Cricetulus griseus: one gene and its partner. Each later gene encodes a partner of the first gene's protein in a complex. Links are inferred from orthologs where the notes say so. Each region holds a gene or a part of one and is shown on either strand. Other genes may lie near its edges.

Region 1 (3,804 bases):
ATGACCATCTCCCTTCCCTACAGAAGGGGGGCACCCAGATTTTGCACTAGCTTCTTGATTTATATCCTTGCAAAGGGAGAAAGGACATAGAAAGCAAGAGCTGCTCTAGGAGTCCATCTGAGGGAAATAACCTGTGCAGCGGCCTCGGTGAAGCCACAGAGGGCCTTGGAGGCTGTGGCGATGGCATCTCCAAACTCCGGCAGATTTCCATTCTTGGCATTTTGGGAGATGCCAGTCATGGCCTCACCTAGGACCTAAGGAAGAGAGGGTGTCAGGAGGGTCGGATCACATCCTGAGCATCAAGGTATCAGTGTTAAGTCCATCTTCCTGTCCTTGCCTCTCTAGAGCTCCCCGGCCCACTAACCTTTGAGTTCTCCATGACACTGTCCAAACAACCGAAGTAAGACATGTCATTGATGGGTTGGACTGGATTCTCCAGGAGTTCTCGGACTGTCTGTGTAGGGGAGTGACATGAAATTTGAGACATTCCCTCAGCCCTAGCTCCTTAGTTCCAGCTACTATGCTAAAGGCTCACCTCTAGTTCCCGAAGGGCATTGTCACACTCCTTCTGTCCAGGTGCTTGCTGGGTGCACATGGTGATAAGCTGGTTGATGCTGTCTGTCACCGCCCTGTTTGGGGGAGGGGTGTGGAACTCAGTGAGTAGGTGATCTTCCCTGTGTCCTGTGTGCATGGGACTGTATATATTTTCTTTTGCTAACCCTGGGGATGTCTTAGGAAATGTCTTCTCTCTGGCCTTCTCACAGGTTCCCAGAGCTGGGCTTTCCAGTTCCTGCTTACCTAGCAGCTGCAGCCAGTTGACTCTTTAGGTTGGGAGCAGCAGGGTCTGTGGATAAGGCCTTAGCAGCCAGAAGAAGTTTGCTTGAAGACATGGATATGCCCTTCAAGTTGGAGACCACCTGGGCTCGGTCCTCCTGGCTCTGTTACAGGTGAGAGCATACATTATCCTGTCATATCTGTTTCTAAAAGGATCTTTCCCAAATACTCACATTCTGATAGACCCTGGGGAGGAGGCAACCAGCAGACCCAGACCCCAAACAGCCATGTGTCCCCTACTGTGCCCTCATAACACCCTTTGCCCCATCGTACCGGGGCCTGTCCAGCCATCTCCACTCCAGCTTCCAGGAAGGTGCTGAAGTCCTGTCCAAATCGACCTGAGGCCCGAGCCAGGTCCTGAGGGGTTCCTCTGGAGGCCTGTACCAGTTCTGTGGCTGCCTGATTTAATCCAGCAGCAGCTTCATTCAGTCGGCTCTGAGCTTCTTGAAATGTCCCAGTGCTGGGAGGAAGCTGTGGGGTCAGAGGGAAAGTCAGGAAGATGGATGGGAGGTGAGACAGAGTTTGGGAAAGGAAGGCCAGTAAGATGGGCACGGGACCTAGGAATAATGAAAAGGGCAGCTCTGGGAAGGCAGGGTCAAAGGAGAAGCCCAGAGACAGAAAGCTCTCCTCTCCTAGCCATGCCTGTTCCTACCGAGTCACTCAGGAGTCGCTTGCTGGCATCTCCAACTGCTCGTAGGGCATTGTCCACATCTCTTTGGCCAGGCAGGCAGCTGACACAGCGGTTCAGGGCCTGGGTCACAGCTTTCGCCACCTGAAGTGGAAAAGAAACAGGGTTGCCAAAGAAGGAATAATCTGGGAGAGCCCTCCTTCCACACTGGGACATAGGAGATAACAAGCTGTCCTGCCACTAAAACTGGAAGAAGCTGAGGTCAGGGTCATAACAAACAATAATCACCAAACATCCCCAAACCCGCTGCTCTGCAAGGTTTGTGCCTAAGCCTAACAGATACTTCTAAGACAAGAGAGAAGGTGGAATTCAGAGAGGCACTCTTATGAGCAGATCTGAGGACACACGAAGCTGAAGAGTGTGTGTCTTATTAGGGTGAACCTTTTGAAGAGATCTAAGGGAGGGGTGGGCAGGAGCCCCTCCTAATAACTGACCTGAGCAAGCCTTTGCTGGCTCTCTGGGTCCCCTGGATGGCCAGCTGCTTTTTTTGCCTCATCAATGAGGCTGCTGGCCTTGTCCAGAACATCACTGGCTGTGTCAAGCACAATGGCCTGCACCGCAGGATCTGATGTCAGGGCAGCTACACCCCGAGCAGCCTGGGCAAGTGACCGTAGTCCACCTGCCACATCCCGAGCTGCAATACCTGGGGACACACAGAGGAGATAGGTTTGCTCCATTAGCTTCTCTCCCCAACAAGGCCCCCCTTCTCCATTTCCCTATCATATGTCCCATTCCTAGCCTTGTGCCTACATACCTGCATAGTTCTCATTGCCTTGGGCAACCTCCCCCAGCAGCTTAGCAATGGCAGAGCTCACTGCTTTCGTGCTGTTGCCAAGATCCTGGGCACACTTCTCCATCTGCAGATAAGAGGGTGAAGGCTTAGGAGGAGGAGGAAGTGAGAGGGTATCTGAGAAGGTTCTTGGGGACAGCTGGAAGATTAAATGAAGGTTCTAGGGCATAGCTGAGCAGACTTTCATGGTTTGGCTGAGGGCATGTTAATAAGACCGACTACTCACTGTTTCCCCAGGTAAGGGTTTAAGCTTGCCATCTCGAGCTGCTGCTTTTACTTCCTGCAGGTCTTTCTCTAGATTCTGTACGACGCTCAGTGCAGAATCCATCTCCAAAGGTCCACATGCCTCCTGAGCCTGTGATGGCGAGCAGCAGGGGGTATGGCTACATTCCTGGGCCTCAGACTACAGTCATCCCTCTTAGAGGTTATAGTGTACAAATTCTCCCCCATCCCAGGAGTCCACATACAGAGCCTCATCTTCCACAGCTAGAACAGCTCCCATACCTTCTGGGCAGCAGTACGGAGCTCTGCCAGTGCAGTGCCTAGGTTCTTTGCACATTGACTCAGCTGCATTGCTGAAGCCTGGTCCTGAATTGTTGGCACTGAGGCTTTTGCAGCTGCCACCATCTTCCCACCTGGCTGTTGGAGAAGATATGCAAATGAGGTATACAATACCCTCTCTCTAGCCTTCCAACGGACACTGGTAGGGTGCAGTAAGTAAGCACTCAGGTTTGGTCTCAGCTACTAGCAGATACTCAGATTGTGGGGGATCTAAGGTCTTGGAAAGGTGGGGAGGATCTGGTCTTAGAAGTGGAGAGTGTCTTGCCTGCAGGAAGCTCTGGCTGGCAGCAATGAGGGCGAGCTGGGCACTGGGGCTGTCAGGTTGAGCTTGGCTTCCTCGGACGCCCTGTACCAGCAATGGAATCTGCTCTGCCACAGCCTGTAGGTCAAAGTGCCATGAATCTCATGCTCTTGAAGTCAGGGAAAGTACTACCTTTGTTCTGACCCCTCCCTACTCCCACATGCCTCTTGGAGACTTACCTTACAGCTCTGCACCAGCAGGGGCTGGGGGCCAGCAGAGGCCTTGGGGGCAGAGGCTGCATGCTGGGCTGCAGCGATGGTCTGCGTAGCAGAGGCTGCAGCTTGTTTGGCTGCATGCTAGAAGGACAGAGTGATCAGAAGACCAGGCATTCCCAGGCCCTGGCCTACACGGCACTCTCCCCACCTACCCCCACTCATTCCTCTCACTGCATCCGTGCATTTACCCCCCCACCTCCCTGCAAGGACTGCCCAGCCTTACCTCCAGGCGCTGCACCAACTTTTTCTTGATGGCATTCTGTGCAGCTGCATTGGTGGCCATGCGAAGCCCCTCAGCCGCTTCACGCAGCCGCTGCTGCTGTTCCTCACTGTCAGGGTGGGCAGCTGCTCCCTGAGAGGAGAGTCATAATCCGTCATCACTTTGACCCGAAATTCACTCTTTTCTGAGTCCTCT
Region 2 (4,272 bases), on another chromosome or scaffold:
GAGATTCTAGGTGGGGCTCCATCCCTGAGCCATGCACAAGACTTGGTCCATTGTATAAGTATTGACTTCTCTGTCTGTAGATCATATCATATCTCTCTGGCCCCTGTGGCTTTCCGGTTTCAGGTTTGTTTTTTTTTATTTTTTTAATAATTTATATGAATTTGCCGTGTGGTGATGGCACACGCCTTTAATCCCAGCACTTCGGAGGCAGAGGCAGGTGGATCTCTGAGTTCGAGACCAGCTTGGTCTACAGAGCAGAGCGAGTTCCAGGATAGGCTCCAAAGCAATAATACAGAGAAACCCTGCCTCAAAAAAGCAAGTAATAATGATAATAATAATAATAATAATAATAATTTATATGAATTGGTGGGTTTTGCCTTCATATATATCTGTGTGATCATGTCGGATCCTCTGGAACTGGAGTTACAGACAGGGTTAGGGTGGTTGCTGGGAATTGAACTCAGGTCCTCTGGAAGAGCAGCCAGAGCTCTTAACCTCTGAGCCACCTCTCCAGCCCCAGGTTTGTTTGTTTGTTTGTTTTTTAATTTGCTTCTGCTTCATTTGATCACTCATGACCTAATTCCTTCCTGTGATGCCCTAAGGATTCGTCCACATCTCTGGAGGAGTTGGTGATGTCCTCTGTAGTTCCTGAGGCAGGAAGGGTTCAGATTCATGCTTCTAGCCGGCTCAGGAGAGGCAGACTCTGCGGCTCCAAGGACCCCCACGTTTAGGAGTGGTGACATTAGTCAGGCTTTCTGGTGGAACCTTAGCACAGGAGAGGTGAGGCAGAAGAATCACAGTTATTATCCTCAGCAGCCTGGGCTACTAGAAGTGGTTTTTACTGCTATTATTTTATTACTTTACAATATAATGTAAACTATTGATAATTAAAGACAGAGCCCCACTTAGACCCAGCTGGCCTCGTGTCTGGTTTGCTATCCGCTTGGGGCGCTCCTGAGCCGCATGTGTAGGCTCCGCCCCCAATCTCCGATTGGGTGTGCTAGGCTCTAGGCCCTGCCCTAGCTCCACCCCCTGCAGGCTTTCTTCCCTCAGTTCTCTGGTTTATACGAGCTGCTCGGTTTTTCCGCCTATGGACACTTGGAGGCGCTAGTGAGTCGTATTTCACCTTAGCCCTGCCCCTGATCTCTGATTGGTCAGATCCCGCCCCCTGCTGAAGTTTCTCCCTCCGCCCTCGGAATTGCACGTGAACACGAGTCCTTCCGGCTCCGGACGCCTGAGGGCGCTCGCGACTCTGCTGAGTGGGCGCTGCTCTAAGCCCCATCCCTATCTCTGATTGGTTAAACTGTCCGCGTCAACGCCAGGCTCCGCCCAGACCCCGCCCCCCGCGCCGGCGCCCCTCCCTCCGCCCTGTGGTGCCGGCGGCGCTTGTTGTTCAGCGGCGGCGGCCGAGCTCGAGTGCATCCTCGGGCCCGCCGCCGCCGCCGGAGCGCTTGGCCATGGAGCTGGAGGTGCCGGACGAGGCGGAGAGCGCCGAGGCGGGGGCCGTGACGGCGGAGGCGGCCTGGTCTTCGGAGAGCGGGGCGGAGGCAGGTAAATCCGGCACCCCCGTCGGCGCGATGGGCTCGCCCCGCTCCCCCGCCGTGGCGCCGTGGTCTCGCCCGGCCGCTCTACGCGGCGCTGCGGCCCGCGGGCTGTGCCATTCACACGCGCGGCGCGGGGGTGCGCGCGCCCTCCCATTCCATGGACTGGGGGAGCCGGCGCTGCGGCCGGGGAGACAGCACAGCCCCGCCCGGGGATACGGGGCTCTCAGCGCTCGGCCCGTTTTAGGGTCCTCGGGTAACACGGGCGACCCGCAGGCGGGTGTGGGTGCGGCTCTGTATCCTGGCAGCCTGTGGAGGGAGCGATCCCCTTCTAGATGCATGCGGTAGCGAAGATAGGGTCCTCAGGTTTGGAGGAAAAGGGGACCGACCCGTTTGGGGGAATCCTCTTGCTGCAGGTGATGGAGACAAACCAGCCCTGCCTCTTTGGGTGTGTGGAGAGTGGTTTCTCCACAGTGCGTGGGATGCTGCAGCACCCTATTCTAGTGAAGGAACCCCCACCTGCCAGGCTAGAAAGGGCGAAAATGTCCTCCATGCGACCCCCTTTCTGGGGCCACCATGCTGGGCTGTCAATCTTGCAAGTGTGACCTTCTGGTGCCTCCCTGCTACACACCACCTATCACCCATTTGTGGGCCTCAGTCTACCTCTCTCTAAAACGGGTGGGGGGCAAAGGAATGATTTGAGGTGATTTCTCCATCTTGGCTGTGTGAGCCAATGTCCTGTCAACCCCCAAACCTTCCAGACTCTTCTCCCTGGACCCTGTCTGCCATGCTAACATAGCCTGTGGGGCCACCCAGCTTCCTCCTGTCCCCTTTCTTGTCATGAGCAGCCTCTCTGGGCAGGGCAGGGCAATGTGCACCGCTGAGAGAACAGAATGCTCTTTTCTCCATTGAGGTCACAGGAACTTCCAGGGTTCACAGGACCCTAGGCTCCTCAGCATATCCAATGTCTGACCGCTGCAGTTAGGTCTCTGTGGCCTCACACAGGCATCCAAGGGTCCCCTCAAATGTACTTTTTGCACACCAGCGATGGGGGAGGAGCCAGACAGCCAGCGGTCCCTAGCCCCAGGCTCTCAACGCCTTCCTCTGTGCCATCTGGAACCTAGTGGCAATGAACCTGCCTCTTGCCACCTGCCCTCCTTCTCCACTGTCACCTGGTGTCCTGTGCAATCAGTCCCTTACCATGCTGGAGGAATTGTGCAGGGGACACAGGGTCCCTTCCTGTCTGTCCACCTTGTGGCCAGTGTGGCCACAAACATGATAGGTCCCACCGAAGCCTCAGGGCAAACATTCCTCCCCATGGAGCCTTGGTCATCCTGACTGGGGACTGATAAACTGACTAGAACTTCAAAAGGGTCTGTCACTGAGCTCTGGACACACCTGACTCCAGACCCCCAGGGGCTGTTCCTCCCGGAAGTCCCTCTTCCTGACTGGAGTCCTATTAAGTTAATCATCCACACAGAATCCCATAGCAGCTGTGTGTGGGTCCCACCCTCCAGTCCAGCTCCTTGATGTGCCCCCAACTACAGTTGGGGGATCACTGCAGCCCTGATCTCTTTAAGGAGTCAGTATTGCTGGTTGTGTTAGCATTAATTTACCACCAACTGCATACCTGCCTCCACAAGTCCCACAGCCCTCTACTATGACCCATTCTGATAGCTTCTGTTTGTTAAGTGTGTGAACACGGGGGGTGTTCAGGGTTGGTGTCCCAGTTTTGCTGTGGCTGGAGGTCAAAAGCAGGCAGAGCAAGGCCTCCCCTGGTGGTTCTTCCTGGAAAGGCTGGGTTCTGTGGGTGCCTGTGTCCCCTGCTGCCTGTCCAGCCAGCCTGCTATCTGCTCTAGTAATTTCCATCAATCTGGTGGGATGCCAGCCTATCCCTGTGCTGTTTAGAACCCAGTTAGTTATATTAAGGACTCCTTGCTCCAGAGGTCTGGCCCCAAAACTGGCCTGTCTTCCTGTGGCTGCCGGGGTCCCTGTGTAGTTTGTGAGTATGTGGAAGGGCTCGGGAAGGCTGGGTATTTAGGACACCTAGGCTGGTGACCTGCTGGGCTATGGCGTGAGCCTGTTCCTAAACTTCATCATTCCTAACCTGCCACTGCCTCCTCCCCTATCTAAACGGGTGGTGAATTATGTCAGCATTGCTTCTAAAATCACCCCAGAGTCTGCCCACGTCTCTTCCACCCTCTGCCTCACCAGGTCCAGCTTCATCATCCTTCATTTTGCTTCCCCCAGCTCTCCTGGTCCAGAAGAAGCCCCATTAAAAACTGGCTCAGGGCCCTCCTTCTGCCCACAGCCCTACCCCATCCCTTCTGACTCCCTCCCTGCCCCTCACTCTCTGCTCCAGCTGCAGGGGCATCGGTGCTCCTCCTGCTCCTCCAACAGCACAGCACCAGGACAGGGTGGCATTCAGCAGATGCACTGTGACTGCCAAGGTGTGCCGGGTATGGCCCATGAGATGCCAGGTGTAGCAGGAAGAGGCAGTGACCTTGACATCAGGGTCAGAACCTTAGAGACAAAAGGTTCCATCAAGTCTTGCCCTAGGTGTCCTCGTGAGATCCTGCAGTTGGATGGCTCTGGGGCCCTTCCTCAATTAGGCTGCTGGGATTAGCGTGCTGATATACACAGGGCCAGGATAAGGCCGGGGACCTAGGCTGGACTAGTTGCAACCTCCATGCTAGTTTTTGTCAGTAAAGTTTTATCAGCATGTGAGCCT

Evidence for each region.
Region 2: the proteins of Tln1 (region 1) and Pip5k1c are in contact, whole or in part, in a crystal structure (PDB 1Y19), measured with the Mus musculus proteins. The link is inferred for Cricetulus griseus from reciprocal best matches to the Homo sapiens genes TLN1 and PIP5K1C. Residues at the interface, in NP_035732.2 of Mus musculus: Pro209, Val210, Gln211, Leu212, Leu214; in NP_032870.2 of Mus musculus: Pro646, Leu647, His648, Tyr649, Ser650, Ala651.

What each region holds. Positions count from the first base shown.
Region 1 is NC_048595.1:99,973,414-99,977,217, reverse strand, and holds part of Tln1 (talin-1), read right to left. Parts: intron 3,742-3,804; coding exon 3,613-3,741; intron 3,471-3,612; coding exon 3,354-3,470; intron 3,253-3,353; coding exon 3,139-3,252; intron 2,952-3,138; coding exon 2,817-2,951; intron 2,668-2,816; coding exon 2,539-2,667; intron 2,380-2,538; coding exon 2,277-2,379; intron 2,166-2,276; coding exon 1,957-2,165; intron 1,607-1,956; coding exon 1,487-1,606; intron 1,306-1,486; coding exon 1,108-1,305; intron 939-1,107; coding exon 799-938; intron 630-798; coding exon 536-629; intron 455-535; coding exon 365-454; intron 255-364; coding exon 132-254; intron 1-131. UniProt on the Homo sapiens protein: High molecular weight cytoskeletal protein concentrated at regions of cell-matrix and cell-cell contacts. Involved in connections of major cytoskeletal structures to the plasma membrane.
Region 2 is NC_048598.1:102,067,210-102,071,481, forward strand, and holds the start of Pip5k1c (phosphatidylinositol 4-phosphate 5-kinase type-1 gamma), read left to right. Parts: upstream 1-1,355; 5' UTR 1,356-1,457; coding exon 1,458-1,551; intron 1,552-4,272. UniProt on the Homo sapiens protein: Catalyzes the phosphorylation of phosphatidylinositol 4-phosphate (PtdIns(4)P/PI4P) to form phosphatidylinositol 4,5-bisphosphate (PtdIns(4,5)P2/PIP2), a lipid second messenger that regulates several cellular processes such as signal transduction, vesicle trafficking, actin cytoskeleton dynamics, cell adhesion, and cell motility.